Linked DNA regions of Oryzias latipes. The protein of the gene in region 6 interacts with the protein of the main gene of each other region in a biochemical or structural test. Links are inferred from orthologs where the notes say so. Each region holds a gene or a part of one and is shown on either strand. Other genes may lie near its edges.

Region 1 (4,397 bases), on a different chromosome or scaffold from region 6:
ATCTGACTCAGTGTCTCCAGCTTCTCTTGCTACCTGGTTTAAGCTCTCTTAGGTATGGGAGTTGAAGACCCTTCTGACATTTGGTTCAACCAAACATTCTTAGCGTGTTTGTGACGGCCACGTCTGTACAACTTCCTCCTCTCCTCTGGAAGCAAATCCAACTCACCACCAGGTGGAAATCGGTTGAAAACTGCCTAAAGCTTCTCTAAAGTGTCCAAGACACATGACAGGAGGTCAGATGACATGACCACAAAGTGGATCATTGAACTCCTGCCAAGGGTGTCCTGGTGCTGCGAGCACCGATAAACACCAGACTCAAACATAGTTTGTTAAGGACAGACTGTGACTGACACTGAAGTTCTACAAGAAAACTCTGGTTCAGATCAGGGAGGATGTTCCTCCTGATCACATCCTTCCAGGAATCACTGTCATTGACCAAATGGGTGATTACGTCTCTCAGAAGAACAATGGAGTCCCCAGTCTGAGTATTTTCCAGGAATCCTCCTTGAGATTTTAACAAGGTCGAGGAACTGAGCTGATAACTGCTATTACACCAAAAGCAAAAAAAAAAAACCTCAGTAAGAAAACGGTTACTTTGTGCTGCTGTTTGACTCATAAACCAAAAACAAAGTTAAAGCCCTCTCCCTGGAGCTGGAGACACAGAGACACCAATTCTCTACTCGATTCAAGGAGAAGCTCAACATGTGATGAGTGAGCTATAAGCAAACCACGTCTCTTAGTTCTGCTTTAGAGTGGAAGTGGAAATCCAGGTTCTTTCAAGAAGTTGGATTTCAAGGGCCCAAAGTGTGCATGGAGACAAGGCTGACTGTCATTAGCCAGTACCGCTCAACCTACTGCACAAGCTCAGGCTCTTTCCCACTCAGTGTGGGTGACATTCCATCAGTCAATTTCTATGGCTTGCCCTCTGAAGGAGAGCCTGGGCCGGGTTTCAAAGCAGGACCCCAGTGATGCGAGTCAGAGAAAAGTAGCACACCTTATTTTTAAGAGTTAGGGCTCCCTTTTTATGTTTTTCATTTGGAGGAACTTCCTTTTTTTCCCTTGCAACTTTTACCTTCAAGGGTCGCCACAGTGAATCAGCTTTGACCATTTAACCCTGTCTTCCGCATCCTCTATTCTAACGCCAGCCACCTTCATATCTTCATTTACTGCATTCAGAAACATCCTCTTTGGTTTTTTTCCCTAGACCTCTTGCCTGGAAGCTCTAGAGTCAGCATCCTTCTATCAATATAGTCACAAATTCTCCTCTGGACAAGTCTCGGCCATCTCAGTCTTGCCTCTCTGACTTTATCTGCCAAACCTCTGACATGTCCTGTCCCCCTGTCATGTACCAAATTTGGACAAACGGTTAAATTAATATTTTTGTTGTGCTTCTACTGCCTGTTTGAAATTTTTTCTGATCTTTAAACACAACATTCACTTCGTTTAACTGGGCTTTTTTAGTAGGAAAAGTACTAAGAGGAGATCCACCTCTAGGTTTTAGCTCATCTTCTTCTGATTCTGAGCCGTCTTCTTCTGCCACGGCAATTGGAACAGCTTTCAGTGGGCGACATCCAGACTGTGGAGCTCCATCCTAAATAAAACATAAATCATTAGGAGTTTTTTTTATAGTGAAAATCATGTGCGGCCCTGGTGTGGCTCCAGACCTGCTCTGCAGCTTTGCAGTGGTGAGGTGCAGAAGGCACAGGGACCAGGGCTGGTCTCTGGTCTAGAAAGACCTCCCGCTCACATGTGTAACACCAGATCCTGAAGGTTGTTAGGTTCACCGTCAGATTATGCTTTTTTGCCTGCAAGCAGATGCCAAAAAAAAGAAAAAAAGACAGTTTTAATCCATTTAAAGTGTGAAAAAGGTGGAGAATTGATGGTATGATCACTTTACCTGTGCATGCAAGGTGCTGTGATCAGAATGAGACTCTCCACATCCAACGTAAGGACAGTCACTCTACATATCAGAAACACTGAGATCAGATCTAGCAGAACTGGATCTTTCAATTTGCAAATAAAGAAAAACAATTAAAGTTTTAAGATTTGCAATTTGAGAAATGTCGTGTTAAAGTAGCCACTGATTGCAGAAGGTGCACTTTGAGTGCAACTTTTCATAGGAGTTGTACAAGTTAAACCATCACAATGGAATATTTGAAGCATACCTGCAGACAGGCCCACAGGTTTGGCCCCCCAGCACCACATGACTGACAAGTCCCCTAAAGAAATGTTTAAAAAATTGGGAAATCAGGCAGATTACGTCAAATGATAAGCTAGTGAGATCTACTATGGCATCCATTTTATTTAGCAACAAAAATGGAAACTCACCTTTGATTTCTTCAGTAGATCATCCTTGGTCACCTCACCTATGGAGTCCAGGTGAGGACAAACGTCTTGCTCTGCCATAACTATTCTTCAATGGTGCGTCTGTTAGGTTGACAGCAGACATGTTATAAGAGGCTCTTAGCTAGCTCCATTATCACAACACCAAGCCGAACTGCAGTCACAAACACAAGCGATCGGTCTCTCTGACTGCTAGCTTAAACATGATAAACGTTGAAATGACCGTCCCCCCACAGAACCAACCGGGAGTCGGCAAAGTGACAGGCCCAATGTTTACCCTCGAAAAGCTCATCCCGTTCTGTCGTCTGCAGCGATAACAGTTGTCACGAATAATTCCTTATTACCACAGAAGAAGAGCGGCTACCGCAGGCGAAACAATTATTTCTCATCTTCTAAGAAAGCTCTCGAGTTGACTCCGAACAGCTAGCAAGTAGAGGAGCCAGGCGACGTTGGCAGCTGACCCACAATCCTCGATCTGACACCCACCCCCTCCCGCTCCGCCGCGCGGCTCAATGTAACTTCTGTGAGCCACAGCGGGCGCTACCAATCGTTGAAAACGGGGGACTAAACGGGGAGGAGTCTGATGACGTAAGCAGGTAATATCGGCAGAAAAAAAAAGATTTATATCGCTAGAGGAGACATCACGTGGTTCCTCATGGGAGGAGAGCACCGCCATCTTAGTGAGGTCAGTGTATGCATGTGAACACATTTTTTGCAAAATGCCAGTTCATTGTCCGGGTTTCAACTGCCAAAATCGGAGAAATTAGTCCACGAAGGAGGAAGTGCTTTACAGTCACACAAACATTCACACACTGGTGGTGGCTCTGCTGCTGAACACTGGCGCCAACCCACCACCAGAGGCAAGGTGGGGTACAGTGTCTTGCCAAAGGACACTTTGACACATGGGTGTGCAAGGCGGGAATTGAACCTGCAATCTTATGATCGACTGCCCTGCCGCTGCCCCACGGCCGCCCAAGGTATACTGAATTCAATTCTAAATACAATCTTGTTGTATACCATTGTGTTTGATGCTGTTTCCAAAGAAATATGTCAAATGTTTAAGATAACTGTTAGGAATAAAGAAATGCCCTCTATGGATACAAATGACACCACCACAGGAAAAATCTGTTTTACCCCACAAGAACAACAACAAAAAAGTACATGCCTTGTTTCAAAGGGATGTCATTTCTGTACCATGTATGTAAAACTACACCAGACGGTTTGCTCCCAACAGTTTTTGGAGAAAAGGCTGGAGTGTGACCCAAAAATGTATGATAAATATTCAAATGAAAGAGGTTTCTTTTAAAATAATTCACAAAATCTACCCCAGCAATCAATTCATGCTGAGATATGTTAAAACAATTGACCCTAACTGTAATGTTTGCAAATGACATCCAGAAACAATTGACCATCTTTTTTGGAACTTTAATGAAAATTGAATTTTTTGGAAAAAGTGTTTACAATTTATCAAAAAACATATTCACCCCAACTTCACTCTGAAATTTGAATATATAATTTTTTGCTTTCAAAATAAAAACTTGGGGTCAAGTAAAAAATGTCATATTCATAAATGCAAATTTTCTTCAACTTCTATTTTCCCCATATTAATCAAACAAATTGAAATATATCTCAGTACCATCTCTAAAAGCCTTCGCCAGAAAGCTGTATGTTTCTATGAAAGTTGTAAAAACTTGAATGTTTTTATGTAAAATGCATGTAATAAGTATGCTCCCCTGGCCTATTTGAAGTTTATTTTGTAAAAATGTGCTTTGTACTATACTTCTGTTTTGCACAAAAAATTAAAAAAAAAAAGATATGACTTATTTTATTTTTTATTTAATGTACACTTCAAGGACACTAATATAGAAATCTATATTATAGATTATATTTTAAAAAACAGGATTTATTTTCAAAATAAATGAAATGAATGAAACTTGTCACAGCAGTGAGGTATTGACATTTTTAAAACGTTTTCCACAAGTTTAGGTGTGTCTTGATGGGAATGTTTGACCATTCTTCCAGGAATGCATTTGTGACAAAGATGTTGAACGTGA
Region 2 (4,280 bases), about 12 Mb from region 6:
CAGAATTCAAACCCCACGGACAGCTGCCGTCCCAGTGGAACCTCCAGAACCACAACTGTTCCCAGCTTTGGATCAGTACTTCAACTCAGCCGCTGTGGATTCCAGCAGTCCTGCTGCTCTACAGCGCCCCCATGTGGAGCCACAAGAACTGGTTCACAGCAAAACCTCTGAATCCGGCCGGGTTTGTCTCATTTCTAATCCTTTTTATGACTTTTGACAACATTTGTTTTGATCAAACAAACTTGTTGTTGTTGTTTGTGTCGTCATGAAAAGGAGTTGATGTGAATCCACAACAGACATCCCATCATAAGCTCCTCTTCCTCACTGTCAGAGTGAGGAATGACATGTGGGGGTCAACTGGGGAAGGGGGAGGGGGGGCTGACCTGCCGCCAAATCCACATCCTGGCAGGAAGCAGGAAGCTCCACGTTTGCTCAGGCATGTGCGCACGTGCTCGTGCACGCACAAACAAAAACATAAGTGTGTCAGGGTGGGGGTTGGAGGGGCTGCAGACGGATAAATCACCTGGAGGTGTTTTTATTCCCCTTCCTGCTCCTGGGGTGGGACCCAGAACTGCTGCATTGTGGGAGAGCGTGGCTGGCTGCTGCTGGGGGGGGGGGTTTCCCATCTGCTGACGGTTTTACGACAGAGCTACGTGCGGAGCGTGAGGCACAGGCCGCCGGGCCGACTCCCTCCCCCCTTGCCCCAAACGAAGGAACGCCGGGGACGGACCCCCGCCAGAGGAGCGCCTCTGCTGTGGAAACGGCTGAACCGAGGGGTTGGTGGTCTGTACGCCGCAGACGCGGACAAGGTCAGGAGGATGAGCTGTGAGACCACAACAGCTGCTGGGATTCGAACCCCCATCAATGCAGAAAATTTGGAGAGCCTTCAGTCTGAGCTCTGCATCTTCCTCTTCATCATCACTAAATCTAAACCAGGATAAACGACAGAACACCTGAACATTCACAACAGATCACAGAGTGACTGCCAGAGTGCCCTTGAGCCCAACACACACCTGACCCCCCCTCTGCCAAGGGCTCCCTGGTTGTTTGATAAAAAACTGAGTTAAGGTTTCAGTTTAACCTTTGATTCACTGCCTGTTTAGGTTTGTGTGGAGCTGAAAAGCAGCAGTGAATGACCCTTAATCTGGCCTCTTCATCGTTAATCTGGATTATTTTTGTTCTTCTCCCGAGGCTTGATGAGCCACAGCGGCGTCTGTGAGGTTCTGAGGTTTTGAAGGAGGTGCAGAGATATTCTGATTCAGAAATGACTTAACATACATGATAATCCAGACTGTAAATTAGAGAAAAAATACACTGAACATCTGTTTTAGACTCTGAACGGCACATGGAAACTTCAAAAAAATAAAGACTGTTGTTACAAATAAACATTTTTCATGTAGCATCTGCTGGTATTGATCTGAACTTTAGGTAGCCACATCAGAGGACGGAGGACACAGGCGGCGCCAGCAAGTCGCCCGCTGTCAGTCATGTTACAGTACCCTATGGGCTCAAAGTCCCGCCCCCACGTACAGTTCAGATCGACTCCGAAAACAAAAACTCTGAATTGAAACTGTAAACTGAGGACTGAATATAGAATTTTTTTAATTCACATTTCAAATCGACAACATTTCCTTAAGTTTTATGTGTACTTTTGAGTTTAAGACTGTTTTTTATTTATTCTTCAAAGTGACTGACTTTAGGCTGATTTGGCCCCGAACATCTATTCCTGTATGATAGTTTATAGCTTTAGAGGCTGGATGTCTCTGTTTCTTTCATTTATTATTATCTTAAAGACCCACACCCATGAAAATGGTCTTATAGACGTGTTCTTGTGGCGACAATGTGGCATTTCTTAATTTCCAATGCATCCACCTGCAGACAAATAGATCCGTGATCGTCTTTATTTTCCTGGTCTTGAGCTGGAATCTGGATCCTAACTGGATCCTGCTCTAATGTAGAGCATGCAGACAGACAGCTCTCAGCAATGGGAAGAGCGGCGGGGTTGCCAACTGTGCTGCCCACAACTCAGAGACTAATTTCTAATGAACTACTGCCGCTCTGCAGAAACTATGTCCTAGAAATGACACAGGTTTTTAGATGTAGGCTAAAAACAGCATCATCATAATTAAGAGACCAAAGGTGTCAGGAGTGGGACTTTAAAGTCATTTTTATATTTAAAACATGATGTTTATTAGTTGTTAAAGCAATAATTCATTCTTTAGTTAATGGCAGCTCATCTCTGGGATTAAAGTGACTACAGCTCCAGTCCCGGCTCCGTTCCCGGTCTCTCACCTGGGACCGTTCCCGGATCACCTTGTTGTTCCCCAGCCGGCCGGCGCACACGGAGATCAGCCGGTCGATGAGGTTGAGCAGGAAGCCGATCGCCTCGCAGCCGCGCTCGGACCCGCTCACCCAGGCGATCTTGTCGCCGCGGATGGTCCGCCGCTGGACCCCGGGGGCGGAGCCGGCGAGCCGGCCGTCGTGCAGCGCCCCAGAGCCGTGCATTCCCTTCACCTCGTCCAGCACGGCGGCCCCGGCCACCTCCCCGAGGAGCCCGTCCACGTAGTAGAAGCCGTGGGTGAGCAGGGCCGGAACCACTCGGTCCAAAGCCAGCCGCTCCAGGTCGGTGTGGGACAGCTGCTCGGTGATGGGCATGGCGGTGGGGGCTTCAGGCTTTACAACCGTTAGGACTGAACCGGAGGGGCGGGAGGTCCGGTAAATGTTGGAAACCCAAAACAAGAGCGAGACTGGACTTTCCGCGGAGTTTCTGCTTCGGTCTGAACTCCGAGGGAAGCCCCGCTCCTCTTATTCCAGACGCGCGTCGATGCGGCGCTCACACCACTTCCGCCACGACTTTTCACAATAAGACGACAAACCGCTCAAGCTCAGAATCTGTTCAACACAAACAACACTCAACCTCAAACCAGCAAAATATCACATTTATGTTAAAAAAAATCTGATATCTAACTTTTAAGATTAGGGCTAGAAAGGAAGACAGTGTCGTGACTTATTATTCTGATCCTTGGATCTCTAAAGACCTGAGTCTGTGTCAGCTTTTTAAATGAAAGAAAACGCTTTAAAATAATATCCCAATATTTGTTTATTTACAAATACTTTTATTAAAAATATTTATGAACAAGATTAAATAGTGGAAATGGCTTTTCTGTGGTAAATCCTAAAAGGAACAGCTAGCTGAAAGGCAAATCAAATATTTACAAATGAGTTATTTCAACTTGATTTTTTTAGTCCATATTTACTTAGCTTATTTTATATAGTATTCCCGTCTTTTTTCGCCTATTTGTAACTCTTTACAATTAATCTGCTTTGACAATCCACTTCATTTCCGTTTTTTTTTACTAGTATTGTGCATTTCAGTCCAGACCACTGAAGCTGTTCCGAGCATGCATCCGCATGTAGCCTACTCAAAAAAATGTTTTAGGTGTATTTTCGTATACTGAGAATGACACATGGAAACCATGAAGAGGAAATCTCCATCGAAACCAGGCTGAAAAAAAACTTAAATTCCAATTTTTCTTTGTAATACCAATTCATTTGTGTAATTCTTTGTTTTCTTTTCATTTTTACTACCTGGGCTTTTCCGTTTTTGTATAATAGTGCAGTAAGGTGTTTTTCATAATTTAAAAAAGCTCTATGCGGTAATAAATCATGAATTTTAAATTGAAACACTAATTGAGTGATTTATTTCAAACTTTGAGCAGCACCTGAGGTTGGGTTTATTTTGAAAAGCCCACTCCCTCTCTCCGCTTTTCCGCCGCTGCTTCGCTGAGGAGCGCGCGGCGGACGTGCTGGATGTGATGTTCCGCGGAACAAGAGAACAGGAGGCGGGCTGGGCGCTTTGTTGCTGGGTCACAGCGTCTGGTCACGTAAACATGTGAAAGAGAAACACTAGTGTCTTCTACAAGAATGAACAAAAAAAAAAAAAAAGAGTTTATCTGTGCAGAAGAGCGTAATATAACGCCGCTTCTCTGACAAGAATCGGGGTTACACGGTTACACCTTCACGGAAACGTTTAACACTCTGCCCGCGCGGGCAGACGCCATTGGCTACCCCATAACCCGCATGTAGCCCTCGCGCTCTGTGGCTTTGACAGGAACAGAAAACGTGTACTTCACCACGCGCCCAAAGTGGAATTAGTGTTGATACAAGTGAATACAAAGAAACTGACTAAAAATAACACAGTTAAACAAAACAAACAAAACATTTCAAATTTACATCAATAATTACATTTATACATTTTTAAAATTGCATTTATAAATATA
Region 3 (4,255 bases), about 7.3 Mb from region 6:
TGAGAGTTGTACTATAATGTATTTTAAAATGACTCTAATTTAACTTAAATGACACAGTGTGGCAAACATCTAAATGCTTGTGCACATCCATTTTGTAGAAAAAAAACACACACCCTCAGTGCTCTTTGTCATAAAAGAGCGCCAGGATATAATCCAGGATCCCTCCCAAGCAGCTCAACGCGGAGACTGCACACATAAGTAGGAGTGCATGAGGCACGCACAGCTGATTGGCCTGATCCACTCATGTGATCACAAGCAGAGTCCCCCGTGTTAGGCCATGGTAATTGAAGCTTCCATATGGTATAGATCAGATGTTGCCTTCACCACAGCATTCCTGCAGCACAGTGACTTCCTTTTTGCATCCACACTGAAAACTGGGCTAATTTGGACAACTGTTTGGCATAACACCCACTCATGTAACGTCAAATAAATGAAATTCAATTTGCTAAATGACAAAACAAATTACATGTTTATGGTTTATACATTGGAGGATTTATTGATGATCTATTGTCTAATTTTTTCTTGCGTGGCAGGTGTGACGCTCTTTGCCAAAGTATACAAGAAAACGAACTTTAGCAGGAAACAGAAAAATTATGAAAAGCGTTCACTATTTTCTTACAGTTCTTTATATTACAAAGATATGAGCCATTATATAATGAATATATTACTATATTAAATTAGGGTGAAATATTTCATATTTTAAAGTAAAAATTGGATTAAAATTAAACATTTTAGCATAATATTAATCATGTTTATCCAATCACCAATTGGCTACTATTTAAATCTAAAGTCTGTAAAGTTATGCCATATTTAAACAACAATTTCTCCAATTTATCATTTTCTGTTGCTTCTGAAAATGTTACTTCTATGGAACTTATTTTTGTTTATAAAAATAATCCCTGAGTTAATTTTAAAAAGTGTGAAAAATTACTAGTTTTACTCTATTTTGGTTGCACGTGCAGTTAGTTAAACACTACGGCAACTCTTTAGGGATACTTTTAAAACAAATAAAAAAGATGATTGAGAAGGAGATTCTTAATTTGACAATTATTTCAGAGTTATTATTTATAATCAAAACTCCTATAACTACATAATATATAGGGAAACAGCAAATAAGTACATTTATTTACATAAGCACAGGTGATGTTCGCATTTCTATATCCAAGAACTTTTGTTTTTTATTTTAAAGTATCGCGATAGTTTAAGTTCTATGCCGCAAATAACTGAGGCAATGTTGGGATTTTCAAATAATAGTCGAATTATCTTTCTTGACAAGCAAAATTGTGATTTTAAACAAAAGTGTACATTCAATTGTCAAATTTGAAGTTGACATTTTCATAAAAACGACTTACATAGACGCGTTTAAGGAAGATTACGTCACTTTCTCGTTGTATAAATTACACGTTTTGGGAAATATGTCATGTGTCGCTACTTAAAGGTAATATTTGTTGAAATTGTGAGTTCACTTATCCACGTCCGGGTGCCCAAATTTTGAGGTTTCGAAAAAGAGGTGTACTGTCTCTTTAAGACGTCTCTGGCAGTCTGTTTCGTATTGATCAATCCACCATTTTCCAACACACAGCAGCTCCGGCAGCGCCACAGAGAAGAGAGCCACCCCTCTACCTGGAGAGGAAGCCAGGGACCGGGGCGCAGTCATGGCAGCGAACATGTACCGGGTTGGAGGTAAGCGCACACGGGTTCGGCTCTTTGGAACACCCCCGTCTTCGTTATTTTATGGCGGGCTCGCCATTATTCACAGAGCGAGATCTTTTATTTCCCAAAAAGCTAAAGAGCTTTGTGCCTCCACAGATGAGGATGGTGTGAAGAGGAGGATGGTGATGAAGAGTAGTAGATCTTTTTTTTTTTCTAATCACGAAATGTTGGTAGCTTCTTTTGTGCCTGTGTTTTGTTGCTCAGCGTGGAGCCAAACAACTCCTTCAGTGTGGGGATGCGCACTTTAGTGAAATGCTTTAGGTTCTCTCCTGTTTGAAGGTATCATGGCGAACATTTTCCCCAAAGTTTTGCGTGCGTTTAAACTGCTTTCTGCTCGGAGTAGCAGCCAGGAGGACTTCACTGACTGACCAACGGAGACAGGTAAAGCATCCATGAGCTGAAGGAGAAGGAGGCTGCTGGGACAAAAAGTTCAATTCTACCAAAAACATTTGGGGAACACCAAACTGGCAACTTTAGTGATGGTTTTCATGCCCATCCATCGCTAAGCTATTTTATTTCCATAATAATTTAAAAATATTTTTAAACAGGCAATTGATTAAAGTACCTAATTAAGATTCCCCACCCACTCGTTCTCTGCCTGTGTTCAGATTCAAATCCTACAGGGGAAAAAAACACGTGAAAGTTCACATAACAAAGTCTAATAATGTCATTATAAATTATTGTAAATATATTAGCCCTCTTGTTGTGGTTTAAATGTTTAAAAATACCCTTTAAAATGTTACAAATGTCTTGTTTTGTGTGTTAAAGGTTTAAACAAGCAAAAAACAACAACAGGTTTTTGGTTTAATTTTAGAAATTAGGAAGTGTTTTTTGGGATTTAAATAAATTTTTTTTTCTATTATTGTAACATAAGCTATCTTGACAACAGTGGTCATTATAGAATAATCCACACAAAGATGCTTTTCTAGTTATTAATTTAATAATGTGTGTTTATGTTTTTAAAATGTATCAAAAACTTGTAGACTGGTGTAAAAATGATATGTGAACTAACTGAAAAAACCATTAATTTGAAACATTTTGATACCATAATATTTATCTCGATGGTACACATTTCTCTGTGTTAGGACTTCATAAAAAAGTTTTGTAAAGATACATATAATGATGCTCAAAATTAATTTAAATCTTATTTTTAATGTTTTTCTTTCACCCCTAAATCCAGTTTGAATTAGATCTTCTTCTTTAAATGTATTGGCATTGAAATAACACCTGAATTTGTCGGATTTTTGCATTACTTACCCTCCTAAACGTTCATCAAAACAAACACTGACTGAATTAGTTCACAACTAGAACGTAAATATAGTGTTGAGTGGGCGATTTTTCTGCGAGTAATTTAGATGGGGTGCTGTGTGGGTTTTTGAACAATTGACGTTCTTTGGCTTGGATGAAGTTGTCATTTGTCTCGAGATGTGTCATCGTATCCCCGAAGAGCTGGCAGCAGGTGCAGCAATTTACAGCTGAGTTTATTTATCTAATCTATGTATTGATATTCTTTGGTCATAACCGCTTGTACAGGCTGAGTAACCACATTTTGTAGTACATCTAACCAGTGTGTGCACGTCTGGGAAAGAGGAACGATGATGAAGAAGAATTACCTTCACTTTATGGATCTATTTGCTTGTTCTGACCAAAAAATCGTCCCATCAAATGTAGGAGTTAGATGGACTTCTATGGATCAGCTATAGTCAAATTAAACCAGATCTACCTGACTGGCAACAGGATTATGCCCAGATCAGGGTAGAAGGTTAACCCTCCCTCTGCCAAAGTGTTGCCTAATTTGGTCCAAACCTTCATCGTCATTCTCTAGAGGAGAATCCATCAGCAGGGCTTAAATTCCTCATCTGAGCAAATTGTAATTAACTGTGCAGATGTATTATTTATTTATTGCCTTAATGCACTGAGCTTGTATTGGGTTGCCTCTGTTTTGTTGCACCGCAGCTCAGGAAATGTAATTAAATTTATCAATCAGGGTCTAAGCTGTTTACACAAACTCCCTAATTTGTCATTTTGGAAAAAGAAAAATCCATTTAGCTTCTTATAAAATACTTGAAAACATCTTAGGATTATGAAACTTACCCAATTTAATCAAAAATCATTAAACATAAGTCATAAAAATAGGACGTCTTAATTAATAACTGATAGGAGTAATCTAGACTTAGCCAATAATAAACCCTGCCTCTCCTGAAACCGGTTCCAGGTCATCATCAGAAGAAAGCAGAGCCTTAAAGAGTTGCCTTCAACTTTGCAAGACAATGCTGCTGAACCATCTTAGGAAGGACTTCCTTTGAAAAAGACTTGGACAAAAGCAGGCTCCTCTGGCCTTCATGTCTTTGTTTTGCACAGCGCAGGCCACAAGCCACTCATCCGGTGCACACAGCGGTTTTTCCTCAATGCTTCGCACCAGAGAAAGTGTTAATTACCAAAGATGGGCTGTGTGTAAAGCATAGAAGCAAACACAGCTTCTGCTTATTGAACTAGAGTTCAGGAGACATAATTTATTCGTGCAAATGTGTTGCTTAAAGGA
Region 4 (4,173 bases), on a different chromosome or scaffold from region 6:
TTTACATTCAAGGAAATCCAGACAAGAAGGAGGCACTGTGACAGTGACACCTGCTGGTCATCTCAGGTCATGGCAATAAAGTCATAAATCCAGAAAAAAAATCATTGTATTTTAAAAGTGCTTGGAGCCTAAAAATGTTTTTATTTTTATTCTGTTGCAGTTTCAATAATTATAAATAAAAGGTAAATGACACTCCAATGATTCCAGGTTTTTCAATAAAGTACATCTTTCGTCTTTTTACTGTCTCAGATGAAAGGAAACGAGCGGCTGGAGTCACCGTTTTAAACTTTTAATTCCAATAAAGAAGCCCTGTTTACACAGAAAACAGCTACGAAATGTAGGACTTTCTTTTTAGACAGAAATAAAGAAAATGATTTAGAAATGTCTTCCAAGATGTCTATAAAAGGTTGGCATTGAAAGCTGCTTTGCTGCTGCTTTTCAGTCCAAACCAGCTTAATGTTCCGAATCAGAACCAAACAGTGAAGGACCATGTTTTACTATAAAGCAGCTCAAAACTGGATCAGCTGTCCTGATGATGACAAACGTCTACTCAATGATATTGTTTTCTGTATGTATATCTGTGGATTGATATACATCCATGGATGTCTGTGGTGACAGTCGGATAACTCCTCACTTTCACACATTTGCACACTAGGAGAATAAATCCAGTTTTATAGAATGCAAACAAAGATCTGATGATGATTTGGCACAGAGGAGATTGATTGACAAGGTCAACAGCGAATCAGGACGCAGAACACAATGTGCTGTTAAAAAATGAGATCGCCACAAATGAAGACAAATGCAAATTTCCAAACATTTCCAGCTTCATGCTGACAACTTTGGCTGTTTTTTCCCCAAACATTTGCTGAAACTATTTTTTTAAGACGCAGCTTGAAAATAACATTGTTTTTTTTTATATTTTTAAGAACTGAAGCTGCTATGTTTGTTACAAACTCCAGAATATTTAACTATTAACTCTATTAATGCTGCAAAAACATGTAAAAAAAACCAAACATTTAGCTTATTTGTGACCTTCCTGTGAGTAACGATGTTTGATAAATAATAAGCAAACCATTTTCTTTTTTAAATGATTGCGTTGAATGTGGCTGAAGGTTCTCGTTTATCCGGGTGACGCAGTTTGGAATATTTCCTCGGTCTAATAGAGAAATCGTTCAGTATGATGATCGATTGTGGTGTAAAAAATCTGCAGCCCTTTATGATCATGTAAACATTTAAAGTCTGACCCTGTGAATAATTCCTAAATGGAGCTGAATATCCGTTACTAGAGGAGTCCATGAGTGACGGTTCATGACAAACCCAGTGATGGAGAAAAGCGGACGGCTTACCTTGTGGTTGAGCTGCGTGGCGCCCTGCAGAGACGCCCCCGTGTATCTGGAACAGAACTCAAAGAGTCCTGGAAACACAGGACTAGAGCCCGCCGTTGGGTTAGTGCTCACATTTGCATGAACCAAAAGCAGAAGACAGATCGATGAAGAGGAGGAGCAGCAGCAGCAGCGCTCACCAGTCATCTCCAACGTTGAAGGTGTTCAGGCTCTTGGTGAAGCCCTGCATGTTGTTGGGGCTGACCTTCTGCAGGAAGTCGATGTAATCTTCAGAGTGGAACCGGCACATGTCGTGCTGAGAGGCTTTGTACGGCTTAAAAACCTGACGGTCACAGAGAAACTGCAGAGTTCAATCTTTGATCTCGAAGCAACAGTGGAAGCAGGTTCTGGACCTTCAGGAGTGTCTCACCATCATCTTTTTATATAACCCATAATGCAACACCAGACTGTGGGTGAGAGACAAACGGTGAGGCTTCATGGGATGACCGGCACCTGCAGGAGACGCGGTTCACAACAAGCATCATCACTTTTTCATCATCAGCTCCATTTCAACATGATTACACTTCCAACGCGTTTTCACGACCAACAGGAAAGAAGATTAAAAAAAATGCTGCAGAATCCCTCCATTTAGTTTGAATCTGCTGCAGCTGTCGGTTCTGTAAATGTTTGTTTGTTGTTGTCTTTTCTTTTTAGACCTATAAAAACCAGAGAAACCACGATCACACTCTGTCAACAATCGTTTTGTCAATCAGAGGCCGTGAATGCTTTGGGACAAACACTTGTTTTAGATTTTGGTCTCCATTTTTATCCTGCAGTGATCAGCTCTTTGTGGACTCACAGCAGCTTTGAACTGAGCTCACACTAATAAAAAAACCAAATCAATGATAATCCCAAACTGTTCAGAGATTATAAACAGCTGGAAGTGATTAAGACCTAAAAGTTTTCATGATAACAGAAACGGGTAAGGACATAATTAATTATTATTAACCTTTCTATTACCTAAATCTAGAATCAGTACTCCTCAGCTTAATTGGTATATAGTATAATAGCCCATTCCTGTATAGAATACAAATTGCAAATATGTTGCCTGGAAATAACCAACTCAGTCAGGGTTTAAAAACACCAACAGATAACCCTAAGTATCTACATACACTCCTGCCGTGGGCAGGATCGCTACAATATTCTTTTCCTTTGCACCCAAATGTGACGTTATGTGTTCATTACTCACCTACAACACACTGGCCTGAACATATGAATGAGATAAAAAAAAATATCTTAATTAAACCCAGAAACAAAATTGGAGCTGAATTTTAACAATGAATCGTTTGAATTGTTAGCCTCCTCCAGCTAGCTTGCATTAGCACTCCTGCTCCAATCCCAGCGTTCAGCAAACTCACCGTAATGAAAGTTTCCCACATCTGGGTCGTAAAAGTAAGACGTCCTAATAGACATTTTAAATGTAAAAAAAATAATAATAATCCTGAGATTCAGCGAGGTTTTACTTTTTAAAGAGCGGCTCAGTCTGCCGCATTTTTCCTGCCGCTAACGGCTAACCGTAAACATTTAAAGGTGACGTCATCATGCTGGGACGCAGGGGATGGAGAGGGGAGGGGCGAACAGGGGGTCTCAAGATGGCGGAGTGAGTTTAAACCAATGAGTGATGATCACTAGAGGAAACATCACGTGGTTCCTCATGGGAGGAGAGCACCGCCATCTTGGTGAGGTCAAGTTACTGCTGCAGTGAATGCATTTGAACACATTTTTTGCATAATACCAGTTCATTGTTTGTGTTTCAACTGCCAAAATCAGAGAACTGAGTCCATGAAAGAAGAAGTATATCATTTCATAGAAAAGTATTATAATTTTTTTCTTTTGTTTCTTTCTTTTTCTTTTGTTTTTCTTTTATTAATAGAACACATGTTGACATGCATGATGCTGCAGGGTTATTATCAACATGCTGCATGATGTACGGAGAATTTGCTGTCGACATAAATGTACATTTTATTTTGCTAAACCTGTATACAGCATACTAGGCTATTATAGTAATATAGATTTATACATGTCTGACTCAGTGACCGAACTTTTCACTATTCACTATTCAGACTTAAGGAAAAAGTGGATCTTAGCAATAAAAAGAGCTAACCCAGATGGATCACTGTGGTACCAACTAGTAATACAGTCTGACTGTTCAAAACATTTGTGGAAACCAATTTAGATAAGAGGCCAGACTGTTAGCTTGAAACCTGACACCATACCATCTGTGTTACACAAATTGATCACTCACATGAATCTATTATTTTTCTTTGTTGTTGTTATTTTAGGGTAAATCTATTGTTCACTTTTGGAATTCTTTTGAATATTTATTTTATTATTATTATTATTATTATTATTATTATTATTATTATTATTATTATTATTATTAATAATAATAATAATAATAATAATAATAATAATAATAATAATAATAATAGACTTATATTTTATTATTTATTGACTTATTATGTATGTATTGCTATTATTTATTGTTTGTATTGACTTACTATTGATTTATTATTATTATTATTATTATTATTATTATTATTATTATTATTATTGAGTTATTGTTGGGTTTTTCTAAATAATTTAAATTACATGTCAAAGAGGTCTAAAATTCCTAAATGTTTACAAATTATTTTTTTTTAATTCTTTGTAATAATTTTTTTATTTGTAAGAAGTCCTGCAACAATGCATTTTCATTAAAGTTTGAGCTTTTAAGGCTGACTGTTTCTCTTCTTTAACAACAACAAATGATGTATCTATATATATATATATATTATATATATAAATATAA
Region 5 (3,663 bases), on a different chromosome or scaffold from region 6:
CATGCAAAAAGGTTATGGGAATTTTTCATAGTGTTCTTCTAATTATCTCAAACATCTACAAATCCAATCATCTACCTTTAAACTTTGGGATAATGTCCAGAAATATCAACAGTGCATCAGATATTTTAAACAGCTGGAGTAGATTTTTCTTCACAAATAAGGCTCTTAATCTGCATTGTCTGGCCTTTACAAAAAAGTTGTAATTAGCAAAACTGTTCACTCAGGGTTCTTGCGTAATCAGTCTTGCTTTTAAATGTCTATTTATACTTTTATCTGTCAAAAGTTAATAATTAAAGTCCCAAGTGGACATTTATGGTCTTTTGACCTCTACCTCTTCCTTAGTATTGAGGGGAGCCAGTTAGAAGTGTCAAAGCACAATAAAACAAAGAAAAGGTCATCTGTTTGCTTGTTAAAAGAGCATGTTCAACAGAACAAAGTTCATTTTCACTAAACTGAGGAAAACAAAGCATAAAACCAACAGCAATAAACTGCTCTATAAGCAAAAGTTCAAAATTCTGTCCTTGGTGAGAGGATGACCACTCTGCTTACTGAGCAAACACCTGCTGTCATTAGTTTTCAGCCACACAGACACCAATAAAAACTTTCTTTTCCTGATTATTTTTCACAGTAAAACAATGTATTATAAGTTGATTTGACCCCTAGTTCCTCTTACATTTGATACCACACTTTTCAAACCAACTAATGAGGTCTGAAGATAGGAGTTGCAGTGTATTACGATGTGCTTCTGTTAATTTGGTTGTTTTGTTTGATTTTCCATCCTTAAAGTAGATTAGGGTGATGTGGCCAGAAAAAATGAATTGGATACGAAATGAACGAGAGCACCAATCGATTGAGTTTTTTTTACCTAAAACTACAAATTATTTGGTTGCTGAAATTGTTCTGGTTCCGTCATGATATCCATTGACAATTAGGACAGTCAAGGAACTGCTTTAAAAAATCTGCTTTGTTTTGAATTTTCGCCATAATTGAATGAGACCACCTGAAGGCCCGTACACACCGGGACGAATATTCGCCAGGCGTTATTCGCCAGCGTTTTTCGCCACGTTTTTTGTGTTCACACCCAGGCGATTTTCGCTGACGATGAGCCGAGCGAACATGCAATTTCCTTCCCTGACATTAGATGGCGCTTAATGTAAACAGAAATACTCCTGTACACAAGGTGGCGCTGCGCAACTTTACGCTTCTTAAAGTCGCTTTTCACTCAGAAGAAGAGAGCAAGTATTTACGCGCTTGTCAGAATAATACAAAGAAAACATGAATATTTCAAGCACCAGTAGCTCCAACTGGTGCATGGTTCGGGGATATTTTAGAATGTCCGTCATTATTTCTTTGCGGCAGTGTTGACGCTACTTGGCGTCTATCTTCTTCGCTGGTATGTGTGCTCAGCAAGGCAGTTTTGTGTTTGAGCGCCCCCAAGCTGTGTTTTACTGTAACTTCAGAAGCTCCAGACACGCGTGCAAAAGCGCCATTCTCATTGGTCGAATAGATTTCGACGCGACGCGTCGGGAAAAAAAAACGAACCCGAGGCGTTTTTTTTTTTGACGCTTTGACGCGTGGCGTTTTTTCGCGTCAGTGTGCACACTCACATTGGTGCCCTTTGTTTAGTCACGAGGCGTTAAATGTCGGCGAAAATCGCCGGCGAAATTCGTCCCGGTGTGAACGGGCCTTGACAATGCTCTGACAAAACTACGCCATGGTGATGTAGGCGAGCCGTGACTCACAGCAGACAAAATGTGTGAAGGCCTCCATGCATCGTATTACTGTCTGTATTAGGCCTTAGTCACAACTGCCCTTATGGGTGGATAGGGTCTGCGGGCAAAAATAGGCAAAACTGTAAGCGGCTCACAGGTTAACTGCACAAAGTATCAAGGTCGTAGACCTCTTGATGACCTTACAGAGTGGAAATGTTTATGCACATTTTTCTGCAGAAATGCTGCCCCTTGCGTGCTCCTTGCATGCAGATAGACTGTTAGAATTTAGGAAATTAGACAATCAGAGTATAGTTTGTGTGGGCATCCAACTAGCATCCTGTGAGCACTTACGTAATCATAATGGTTAGTAAGGAGTAAGTACTCGCACCTAACGAACGACTAAAGTACAGCGTAAGGACACCGTACAACAGCACCGCCCCTACGTCATTCAGTGCATGCAACTTACAGTATCCTTACAAATACTTTAAGATGCACTTACCACACACAACAATGGTCCATTCCACTGTCATGACGTCCCTTAAGGTGGATGCATTAGTTTCAAGGAAACTGCAAGACACAACTGTGCTCCCCTAAAGATTTGGCCGCTCCTCTCTACGACCTTCCATGTGGCCGGACAACCCAACAACTGACAGTACCCATACAGGTCAACCCCTATAGTATTAATAGTGTATTTTAACCCTTGTGCTATCCTATGGGGTCAAGATGACCATTGACGTGTTATCCCTACCATGACAAAAATAGATGTTTCATGTAATCCATGGAAACCAGTGAAGATCACTGAATCATTGAAGAAAAAAGTTCAGCGCACTGTCTTGTGGGGTCTAGATGACCCAACTCCCAATGTCAAAGTGCCTAGGATAGCACAAGGGATATCTAAGACTTTAGCCAGAGGCGAGAACAGATGCAACTCCCCACAACAGAAAGAACAAATTGAGATCCTGAGTAGGTCCTCACAAAGAAAAACAACCTCTTATGTATCACATCACCATGAAAAAGTAATATCAGTGTTTCCTTTTTCAACTTTGGCATATGCCACAAACTCAAATAATTCATCATTTGGTTTATATTCTACCAAAAAGTTGTCATTGTCACTTCAACGTTAGGAATGAACCGTAGAGTCACCCGTCCCATTCGCCCCTCACCTGAAAATTGAGGCTACGCAGCACAGCATTGATGCTGACCAGGTTTCTGGCAGTGTTGTCTATGTGGTTGTTCAGCGCCGTGTTGGTGACCGATGGTCCAAATGAGCCGAGGGCCTGCTGTAACAGCCACAAGCCGGTCTGCACTTCCTCAGCTTGCTCTAGTGCCTTCCCAGAGGATAAACAAGAGCAAAGAGTGGGGGTCTCATCTCGGAAAAGATAAGAATCAAAGGATGTAGGAAGCAATTAACTCTTCCTCTGGAAATTATCAGAACTCACAGCTCAAGAAAATATTATTACATAAAGAAAACAGGCAAAACAACATTTTTACGTGTTAAAAAAATCACAATGTAACATGTTTTTATTGGCTACATCATCAGAAGGTTCAATCATAGCATTTATTCAAATTGATACTTACATTTTTCTTCTCCCAGTCCTCGAAGTTGACTGTAGTTTGGGGAACAGAGACCGTCTGTGTTAGGCCACATCCTTCTCTGCATGACCTCTAAGGAAGTGCAAACAAAGACACGATAATTAAAGCCTCCTAATTAAAGGGATCCAAACATCCAGTATGCACAGTCACCACTTGTGGATCCCATTCACACATTCTCCACTCACCATAGCGACTTCTGCGTCTCGTGCTTCCTGGATGAAATGGTTTAGGACCCTCAGGTCACAGATTGGCCGCAGTGGGGATAGTAGGCCTGGGCAGGTCCACTCCAACACAATCAACAGCAAGGCAAACAGTCCTGCCACCAAAGATACACACAACAGGAGTTTTGCAAAGTCTA
Region 6 (4,247 bases):
AGATTTCTCAGTGCTTTTCTTTGATTAACAGCTGCATCTCTCATCTGCATTTTTCTGAGCGCCTGCTGCTCTTTAGCTTCACTATTGGGTCAAAAAGCAAGTTTTGACATTGCTCAAACTTGCTTTTATTAACATCAAATATAAGTGATGGAGCATTCTTGTGAATTTATCCCGACGTTAGCATGATAATCGCCACAAATTTTCATGTATAATAAAATCATCAATCATATTTTTTTTTCTAAGATTTCTTTTTAGTTGCTTCTGGGCCCATAACCCGTTGATCTTTGCAGCTTTAACACCAAAAAAAACAAAAAAAACAACTCAAAAGACAAAGAAACAATCTTCGTTAGCCTTTTGGCATATTTATGAGGGATCAAAAAGTTAAACAGCTCACAAGAGTTCCTCTCACTTAAGATTTCTGTTATGACATAACATCCATCTCTGACCTCTAAGTCTGCACTTCCCAGTGGTTAAAACCCCCAACATAGTCACAGTAGGTAATTATACAAAAATCCTAATTTCAACTTTAATTTAATTCAATTCAGGAAACAGCCATAAAGTTATATTTTTGGCAAAAAACAGAAACATGTCCTTCTATATAATCCAGGTAATCTGTTTCTAGTTCTAACTAGTCTGCTCCTTGAATGCCTCACAGGAAGCACCCATCGCCACTCAGTGAATTCCTACACACTTTTAGCCACTCCCATTGACGTCAAGACCCTGTGATTAAGAGATGAGACAGAAATTATAGCAAAACAATTTACGGAGGTCTGAAAGAACTAAATCAGAATAAACTGCCACAATGGCCAAGACTGAACACGTGTTTATTTCCAGTTTAAATGATGACCCCATTATCTAGATCTAAACAAAGCTCTAAAACCACCACACATTTAGCTGTTTAGGCAGACAGATGCAGTAGGATATGTACTTAGTTTTCAACTTTTAGCCACTCTTTGTGCTTGACCAGTGTAAAAAAATAAAGTTTTCTTTCTGAACTATAAGGGTTTTTTCATCACAAATTTTTACTACTATTCACTATGTTCATATTTTTCACCAGCAGCTGAATCATAATCATTATGAGCTTTTGTAGGTAAAAATTTTTTGTTATTAAGTGGTACATCAGGGAATTAAAGTTATGGGGGGGGGGAAGTCAGAAAATATGTCTTGCTGGGAGGAAACCTTTTTCTTTTTACTTTTTCCTGTTGAACATACATTTCTTTATTACATTTCTGCTTCATGCAAAATACTGTATACTAAATGTTCAAAGTTACATGGCTGTTTTAAGATGAGAAACTTACATTACAAAAGTTATAAAATAATATGTAAAATCTAAAAATTAATATGTATTATGTCTATAAAAAATGTCAACAAATATTTTGATTAATATTTTAAACCAAAATGTCAGATCAATTGTAATAGAGTAAAGAACACAATTATTTTATCATAAATATCCTACTTTGTCAATGTATTAAAATCCAGACATCATTCAATTTAGTAAAATGTGATTACCCTTCATTGCATCAGCTTTGATAAACTGGTAGTTCAGTTTACAAATGAGTTGTTTTTATCAATAATTTCTATTCACTGAATTGTACATTTTATTATAGAATGATTGTTAATTTTGTGTAAAAAAACTACAACTTTCAAATAATAAACATGGCTGCCTAACCTTAAAAGTAACGAAATTAACTGAAACTTTAAAGTTTCTCTGTTGCACGACACTTGTACAACCTTTATATCTTACATCATTATTACTATTGTTGCTATTATTATTATGGTTGAGTGTTACTCTAAATCTAATTATTTTTTGGAAAGCAATAATAATATAATACCAAAGGCATTTGGTGAAACAAATTTTTTCTAAAATGGGTTTTTAAAAAGCAACTTTCAGCAAAACAAAAGGCTAAAACAAGAGTTTTAAAATGAATCTTTAGTCTCAAATTCAAAACGACTAAAACTTAAGCAGACAAGGAGGAACTTCAGGCCACAAGTCACACGTGAGCAGCAGGTGTTCACTGACCAGTCAATACTATTAAACCACATAAATCCACTGATCTACTCAAATGTAACTAGATGTATAAAAACTGCAAATATTAATCGAAGTATTATTAATTATTAAGATTTAGAAAATCGACCACATCTGCTGGGATCTAAAGAAGTTTCCGAACAAAAAGCACATGATGATGGAGGGAAACGCAGAGAACGGTTTTAATGACGTAAATAAACTACATTTTAAAAATTCCAGCACATTAAATTATTTCAATATAAAGATTTAGTGTAAATAGACAGGTTGACGCCGACCTTTCAATATAACACCATTTCCGACAGCTAGCTATGTTAGCATTTTTGCTAACGACACTACTAGCAGCGATGACATTCGTATGAAGTCCAACAAACACACCAAACTGGCAGTAAGCTAGAAATTTTGGACCGTAGAGAGTAGTAAACGTAAGTGAATATTAAAGTTCTAACAAAAGAAAAACATGTTTAGAAATGTTTAAAACGAAAAGCAGACGAGTAGCGGCGTTAGCAAACTGTGACGTTACCTTTTCTTTTCGGGTACAAATCCTGTGTCCATGTCAGGACGAAAGGACTTGAGTTTAGCCTCTCTATCGGTGTGAAGCTGTATCCGGGCGCGTCAGAAAATGAACCACAATCCCTCAATGTTAATCCGTTGCCTCTCAAGTGGGTTGCATAAGAGTTCGAGGCAGATATCCTTTGTTGGATAAATCAAACTCTCTTTGGCTCAAATCGGGCTATTCGGTATACTTTCCGTAGGGTTAAGGAAAATGTGCCACGCAGGAGACGCGCTTCTTGCTAAGACAATGTTGCCTCGCGAAGGATCGTTGACTCCTCCTGCTGCCTCCCGGGAACGCGCAATCACGTGTCCTTATTTTCCACCAACGGGGGCGCGCGCTGCAAGCTAAAATCACCTGCTGCTTAAAATTGCACACATTTTTGCTGCCTGCATGGCGCGTGACTTATTAAAAGTAATGCAATTTTAGGGCAAATAGGTTAAGGTATGTATGTTCCAGGGAATAATTGATACAAGATTTTTAAATTGTATCTAAACATACAAAAAATGTGTAATTGTTTACATCTTATGTTTTTTATACAAATTCTACCTTTTAAGGCCTTTTGCAATTTTTTTTAATTTACCTTATTTATGCTATTTATGTGCTTTTATAGTGGAAACATCTTTTGTTTTGAGTAGTCTGTCACTATTCCTTGTCAGACACATGGATGGATCAACACAAACAATGCAAAGTTAACATTTGCCTTACAAAAATAAATGGAAAGTTACTATAAAGTATGTTTTCTATTTGTGTTGTAATCTGCTCCTAAAATTCAAAGACACAATTCTGTAAAAATGAAAATAAAAGGTATCATTCGACAGAGAAAAAAAAACTTTTCCTTGACTCATTTAGAGCTGCTGCAGAAACAGCAAGCTTGAGAGTACAAAGCAATAGGCCTGTGGACTGGAAATGCATCAACCTGAAGATTGCTATAGGGGAATTACTTGGAGGGTCTCTGTGTGGAGTCTTTTTCATTATCTCCTCCGATTCAAGGGATTATCAGTCAAAGATGCTGGACAGCAGAGTGAGATTGGGGACTCAATAAGGTTTTGCTGGAAGCTGCCGGAAGCTCTGGATGTAATTAAAGATGGGGTGGATTCAGATATAACCTACAGACAGCTGCCAAACATGACATATATACAGTATACACAAACCGTGGTTATGTTGCAGGTTATTACTTAGGAGGAAAATCCTTAATAAGGTAACTGACTTCTTGGGTTATTTTTTATCAGACACGGTTTGTGTTTTTACACATACCTGACATAACCCAATAAGTCAGTTAATCTTATAGACACAATGAACTTTATTGACTTAATAAGGGAAGTCTTAACAGGTCAGCAGACTTTGATGTAAATTTATATGCATTTTTTGTTGAAAAATGAATGAAAGCAAAATTTTTTCTTTTGTCTTGAATCAGCTTCTAGTCCACCACAGAACACGGGCTTGAAGTGATAAACACACGTAGAGCTCAGCGACTTCCACATTCAAACTCACAGGAAGGGTCCGTCTGTGCCGTTTTAACCTCAAGAGCTTAGCGGGGCTCATTTTTTTTGCCAAATCTCCAAATGCTTCCCCACGTAGCAGACAAGAAAATACTGTCACTCATGTTTTTTTTCCTGTTTCGATTAAAAGCGATTGTAGAGACGTTCTGTGGTTTCCTGTTTATCCTCT
Region 7 (4,441 bases), on a different chromosome or scaffold from region 6:
GCCATCTTGCCTTCAGGATGCCTATAGTCATCTCCACCCTGACCCGTGTTCTGCTGTGGGTCAGGTTGAACTGTGCCTGTTGTCGAGTCTGAGGATCAGGGTAGGGGGTCATCAGATATGGCAGACAAGGATACCCCCTGTCCCCCAGCAAGTAACCACTGAAATGTCCTATAATGGCAGTTAAAGTGTATAATTTACATAACATTAAATGCATGACATTGTATAAAAAATGAAGGTAAATTATACCCTGGTGAAATTTGGGGCACAATTATGACTCCCTAAAAATTCTGGCATCACGAACAGATCCTAGCTATTTGGCTTCTTTTGTTTCTGCTTTCTTTTGTTTTGTGTGCTTGAATTAAAAAAACAATTCCAAAAAGATGGATCATCATACAAACTGCCTTACACCTCATTCAAATATAGAATTCTTTGTCGTATATTTGTCTCCTCTGCTTCTGCATGATCAAAATAAAGTAACATCGCAGTAATGCAAAATTGATTATTTTCGAATAAAAAAAACAATCTGTAATATAATGAATGGAAGTACAGCACAGTAACAAAAAAAGCATTTGGCAGTCACTGATTCTTCAAGATGTCGCACTTTTAAAATGACAGGTCAGTAATGTTCATCATAGATACTATTCAACTTTGAAAGACGACAACATGTTAAAAAAATCTAGCTGATCACATTGTATGATTTTTAAAAATGTGTTTGTATAACCCTTGTGCTATCCTAGGCACTTTAACGTTGGGAGTTGGGTCATCTAGACCCACAGTTCACTGAACCTTTTTTCTTCAATGATTTGTGATCTTCACTGGTGTCCATGGATTACATGAAATCTTTCCACCTTTATCCACTTTTTTCATGGTAGGAATAACACGTCAATGTAAGGGTGGGGGTCATAGGATAGCACAAGGGTTAAACGGGCACAGAAAAAGAGTACGGTATTTGATCAGAAACAAAAGTTCATCTTGAAATGCTTTTTACGTTGCCACTCCTTTGCTGCCATAAGTGGATGTGGCTGTGGCTGTCCAAACACTTTGCTCTGACAACACAATGACAATCGAAGTAAAAAAAGAGTCAGAAATCTGAGATTATTTTAAACAGCACAGAGTAAAAAAAGTTTAAATTAGACCAATTAGATTAATTAATTAGGTTAAAATGGGGGGAGGGGGTTAGAATCCGAAGAAAAAAGCCAGAAGTCGTAAAAAAAAGTCTAGAACTCTGACTGGATAATTTAGAATTCTGAATAAAGTCAGAAATCTGACATTATTGAGATAGAAAAGGTTTGAATTCTGAGATAAAGTGAGAATTTCCCTTTCTCCGTGGTCCTAATCTTCTTCCGTACGTAATAAAGATAACTATTGGGATTTTTTTCCCCTTTCTTTAAGAGAACTTTTAATTGAAAAACAAGCTAAGAGGTGCATACATCAATGGCGTAAAGCAGACTACTGCGGTGTAGTCAAGTCCACCCGTCCCAGAATCCTTTGCGCGACCTTTCATAGTTTCTGCATCCGGGGTCGTATTTCCTTTTCCTCTGTGCCTAGATGCGATGAGGAGCTAGGTTCGGCTGAACCTGTCTAAAATCCGAATCCATCCTTGTAAAAGGCACCACCGAACCTCCCCAAAATGACTGAGCAGATGACAGTAAGGGGGACCCTGAAGGGGCATAGTGGATGGGTCACACAGATCGCCACTACACCTCAATACCCCGACATGATTCTGTCGGCGTCCCGAGGTGAGGCTTCGCCCCGCCGGCACCGCCAACATGGCTAACGTTAGCTCTCAGCTGCTTGCGTTCAAAATGCTGTAACTTTGAATTTGTTGCGTGAGTAAATGAAACCAGCTAGATTTAATAAACAACTACGGAGGTTTTTACCGTATATAAAGTGATGCAAAATGAACATTTGTAGACATGTTAGCAAAGAGGTAAGCTAGCTTCCTGTGACATAGCATAATATGTGGCAGCTGCTACCTCAAAAAAACTTAGTTGTAACTGAAGCACTTTTCTTATTGATGCACATTTTATTTTGAAAAAAAAAATGTATCTGAATAAATATAAAAGTGGTTTGAATGTGTTTATCTAAAGTATCTCTTGCTTTCAGACAAATCTATCATCATGTGGAAACTGACCCGTGATGAGACCAACTATGGCATCCCCCAGCGCTCCCTGAAGGGCCACTCTCACTTTGTAAGTGATGTTGTGATTTCCTCTGATGGACAGTTTGCCCTGTCAGGAGCCTGGGATGGAACCCTCCGCCTGTGGGACCTCACCACGTAAGTGAAGGGCAGGAAGCATCTCTTTAGTGGTTGGTGGCAGCATGATTTTAATCATTTATGTGAAGCAGCTGCCAGCCAGCCATTCATTTGTGGAGAAAATGGGATGTATTTTGAAAAGATGCCTAACACATATGTACTAAAGACTATCAAAAGAAGACGAGTACATTTACTGATTACATTCCATGATGCATATAAATACCTTAGATTTCAGATTAGTTTTGTTGTTTTGCTATTGAGAGATTTGGAAATCAATTTAGCATGTTTCTTTTTAAAATGAGGTTTACCTGCATCCAGTCCAGTCATTTCAGTTTTTTAAGCACCAGTTTACAGCTTTAGTTGTTTCTAGGAGCCTCACAAGTCATGAAACGTCCAGTCAACCTAAATTCATTGTTTTTAATTCATTCCACCTCACATCATCTTTAAATGCCAAATTCTCTCAACTTGTATGTTTAGTCATTTTGATGGAGATCTATCCTGTTTATATTTTATGGGATTGAACTGACTTGTTTTAATGTACTATTGTCTCTAGCCTTTACCTTTTTTTGTTTACATTTGATAGTTTCACAGCTTTCTAAAGGCAAACCTTTATTGATGTTCCTTTCTTGGTCCGTCTGTTGTGGAGTGTATTTCTTAGCTGTGGTGTGATGACAGGCGTCCTCTTCATGTTTTTTTTTTTTTTTATTGAAAGCCTCTTGCTAATAGGTAAATGTGCCATTTTTCAGAGGGCTCACCACCCGCCAATTTGTTGGACACACCAAGGATGTTTTGAGCGTGGCCTTCTCTGCTGATAACCGCCAGATCGTGTCTGGCTCTCGGGACAAGACCATCAAGCTGTGGAACACTCTCGGCGTTTGCAAGTACACCATTCAGGTGAGCTGCCGGATAATGCTGCCTCTTTGTAGATCTTATGACGTCCTTATCCGTGCTGCAGGATTTTATTGACTTTGAACTCCTGTGAAGAGTTGACATGACGGTCAGATCATGAAGTTAAGCAAATTAAGTCGCTAACCTTCAAAAAGAAAGGCTTTACTGATAATCTCGTGCTTGTAAATTTTGTAAATTTATTTTAAAAAATCACATAAGCATTGACCTGTAATCAAATAGATTCCTGTAAAACCGTATGTGTTTGATTTTGCAGGATGAAGGCCATACTGAGTGGGTGTCTTGTGTTCGCTTTTCTCCAAACAGCAGCAACCCCATTATTGTCTCCTGCGGCTGGGACAAGATGGTCAAGGTTTGTACTTCCGCTTCCCTTCATTTGCCATTAGATTGATTTAAAAACAATAGAAAAATATGCTCCATGATTTTAAAGAAGTTTGCATGTATTACCTGACCTGGTTTCTGATGAGAAGCTTTGTGGATGAGAGCACGTCTCCACAGTTTTATCTGGTCTTTTCATGTCAGTGTAAACTTGACGGTCACTGTCTGCTGCTGTTTCTATAGGTGTGGAACCTGGCGAACTGCAAGCTGAAGACTAACCACATCGGCCACACTGGCTACCTGAACACGGTGACCGTATCTCCTGACGGCTCCTTGTGTGCATCCGGTGGAAAGGTAAGCTGGTTCAGTTGGAGAACTCGACTCGTATACTTGTGAAGATTTTTAGTGATGGCACACAAAGGCCGACCTCCAGGTGTCAACTGTGATGGATAAATAACACATCATTCTGTTGGTAAACAATTGATGACAAAAGAGGCTGTTTCTGAGTGACACTGAGTCGTAAAGCCACGCTAAATGAAGATCCAGAACAGAGCTGCTGTGTGGTCATGGCTTATTTTCTTGTTAATGTTCTCTCAATCAGGACGGCCAGGCTATGCTTTGGGATCTGAACGAGGGCAAGCACCTGTACACCCTGGACAGCGGCGATGTCATCAATGCCCTTTGCTTCAGCCCCAACCGCTACTGGCTTTGTGCCGCCACTGGCCCTAGCATCAAGATCTGGGTGAGAGCTCCTACGTGATGATGTGGAACTACTGCTGAATGTGGTTTGATGGGCCTTGATGAAACTTGAAAATGCTAACTGTATTGCTTGATGATAACAGAGGCTGTTTCTGAGCTCCAGACTAATTAGCTTCAGTCATTTCTGTACATTGCCTGTTATTTTGAGTTGTTTTAGTCATACGGTAAATGTTTATTCTGTGTGCAGGATCTGGAAGGGAA

What was found.
Region 1: of the proteins of hif1a (region 6) and usp20, one has a biochemical effect on the other in vitro, tested with the Homo sapiens proteins (2 studies listed by BioGRID and IntAct, with this or other methods). The link is inferred for Oryzias latipes from reciprocal best matches to the Homo sapiens genes HIF1A and USP20.
Region 2: the proteins of hif1a (region 6) and egln3 form a complex in vitro, tested with the Homo sapiens proteins (5 studies listed by BioGRID, with this or other methods). The link is inferred for Oryzias latipes from reciprocal best matches to the Homo sapiens genes HIF1A and EGLN3.
Region 3: the proteins of hif1a (region 6) and mta1 form a complex in vitro, tested with the Homo sapiens proteins (2 studies listed by BioGRID). The link is inferred for Oryzias latipes from reciprocal best matches to the Homo sapiens genes HIF1A and MTA1.
Region 4: the proteins of hif1a (region 6) and hdac3 form a complex in vitro, tested with the Homo sapiens proteins (2 studies listed by BioGRID). The link is inferred for Oryzias latipes from reciprocal best matches to the Homo sapiens genes HIF1A and HDAC3.
Region 5: the proteins of hif1a (region 6) and epo form a complex in vitro, tested with the Homo sapiens proteins (2 studies listed by BioGRID). The link is inferred for Oryzias latipes from reciprocal best matches to the Homo sapiens genes HIF1A and EPO.
Region 7: the proteins of hif1a (region 6) and rack1 form a complex in vitro, tested with the Homo sapiens proteins (2 studies listed by BioGRID). The link is inferred for Oryzias latipes from reciprocal best matches to the Homo sapiens genes HIF1A and RACK1.

The regions. Positions count from the first base shown.
Region 1 is NC_019870.2:7,753,082-7,757,478, forward strand, and holds the start of usp20 (ubiquitin carboxyl-terminal hydrolase 20), read right to left. Parts: upstream 2,897-4,397; 5' UTR 2,621-2,896; intron 2,428-2,620; 5' UTR 2,407-2,427; coding exon 2,329-2,406; intron 2,220-2,328; coding exon 2,166-2,219; intron 1,961-2,165; coding exon 1,898-1,960; intron 1,806-1,897; coding exon 1,665-1,805; intron 1,592-1,664; coding exon 1,489-1,591; intron 1-1,488.
Region 2 is NC_019880.2:24,327,664-24,331,943, forward strand, and holds the start of egln3 (egl nine homolog 3), read right to left. Parts: upstream 2,844-4,280; 5' UTR 2,656-2,843; coding exon 2,293-2,655; intron 1-2,292. UniProt on the Homo sapiens protein: Prolyl hydroxylase that mediates hydroxylation of proline residues in target proteins, such as PKM, TELO2, ATF4 and HIF1A. Target proteins are preferentially recognized via a LXXLAP motif.
Region 3 is NC_019880.2:4,694,850-4,699,104, reverse strand, and holds the start of mta1 (metastasis-associated protein MTA1), read left to right. Parts: upstream 1-1,419; 5' UTR 1,420-1,438; intron 1,439-1,553; exon of another isoform or gene 1,554-1,582; 5' UTR 1,583-1,655; coding exon 1,656-1,683; intron 1,684-4,255. UniProt on the Homo sapiens protein: Transcriptional coregulator which can act as both a transcriptional corepressor and coactivator. Acts as a component of the histone deacetylase NuRD complex which participates in the remodeling of chromatin.
Region 4 is NC_019868.2:25,322,628-25,326,800, forward strand, and holds the start of hdac3 (histone deacetylase 3), read right to left. Parts: upstream 2,930-4,173; 5' UTR 2,796-2,929; coding exon 2,741-2,795; intron 1,836-2,740; coding exon 1,753-1,835; intron 1,666-1,752; coding exon 1,523-1,665; intron 1,429-1,522; coding exon 1,347-1,428; intron 1-1,346. UniProt on the Homo sapiens protein: Histone deacetylase that catalyzes the deacetylation of lysine residues on the N-terminal part of the core histones (H2A, H2B, H3 and H4), and some other non-histone substrates.
Region 5 is NC_019876.2:6,191,004-6,194,666, forward strand, and holds part of epo (erythropoietin), read right to left. Parts: intron 3,622-3,663; coding exon 3,491-3,621; intron 3,378-3,490; coding exon 3,291-3,377; intron 3,041-3,290; coding exon 2,876-3,040; intron 1-2,875. UniProt on the Homo sapiens protein: Hormone involved in the regulation of erythrocyte proliferation and differentiation and the maintenance of a physiological level of circulating erythrocyte mass.
Region 6 is NC_019880.2:11,968,785-11,973,031, forward strand, and holds the start of hif1a (hypoxia-inducible factor 1-alpha), read right to left. Parts: upstream 2,863-4,247; 5' UTR 2,579-2,862; coding exon 2,547-2,578; intron 1-2,546.
Region 7 is NC_019868.2:17,071,904-17,076,344, forward strand, and holds the start of rack1 (receptor of activated protein C kinase 1), read left to right. Parts: upstream 1-1,513; 5' UTR 1,514-1,630; coding exon 1,631-1,739; intron 1,740-2,106; coding exon 2,107-2,278; intron 2,279-3,003; coding exon 3,004-3,151; intron 3,152-3,419; coding exon 3,420-3,515; intron 3,516-3,724; coding exon 3,725-3,835; intron 3,836-4,082; coding exon 4,083-4,223; intron 4,224-4,427; coding exon 4,428-4,441. UniProt on the Homo sapiens protein: Scaffolding protein involved in the recruitment, assembly and/or regulation of a variety of signaling molecules. Interacts with a wide variety of proteins and plays a role in many cellular processes.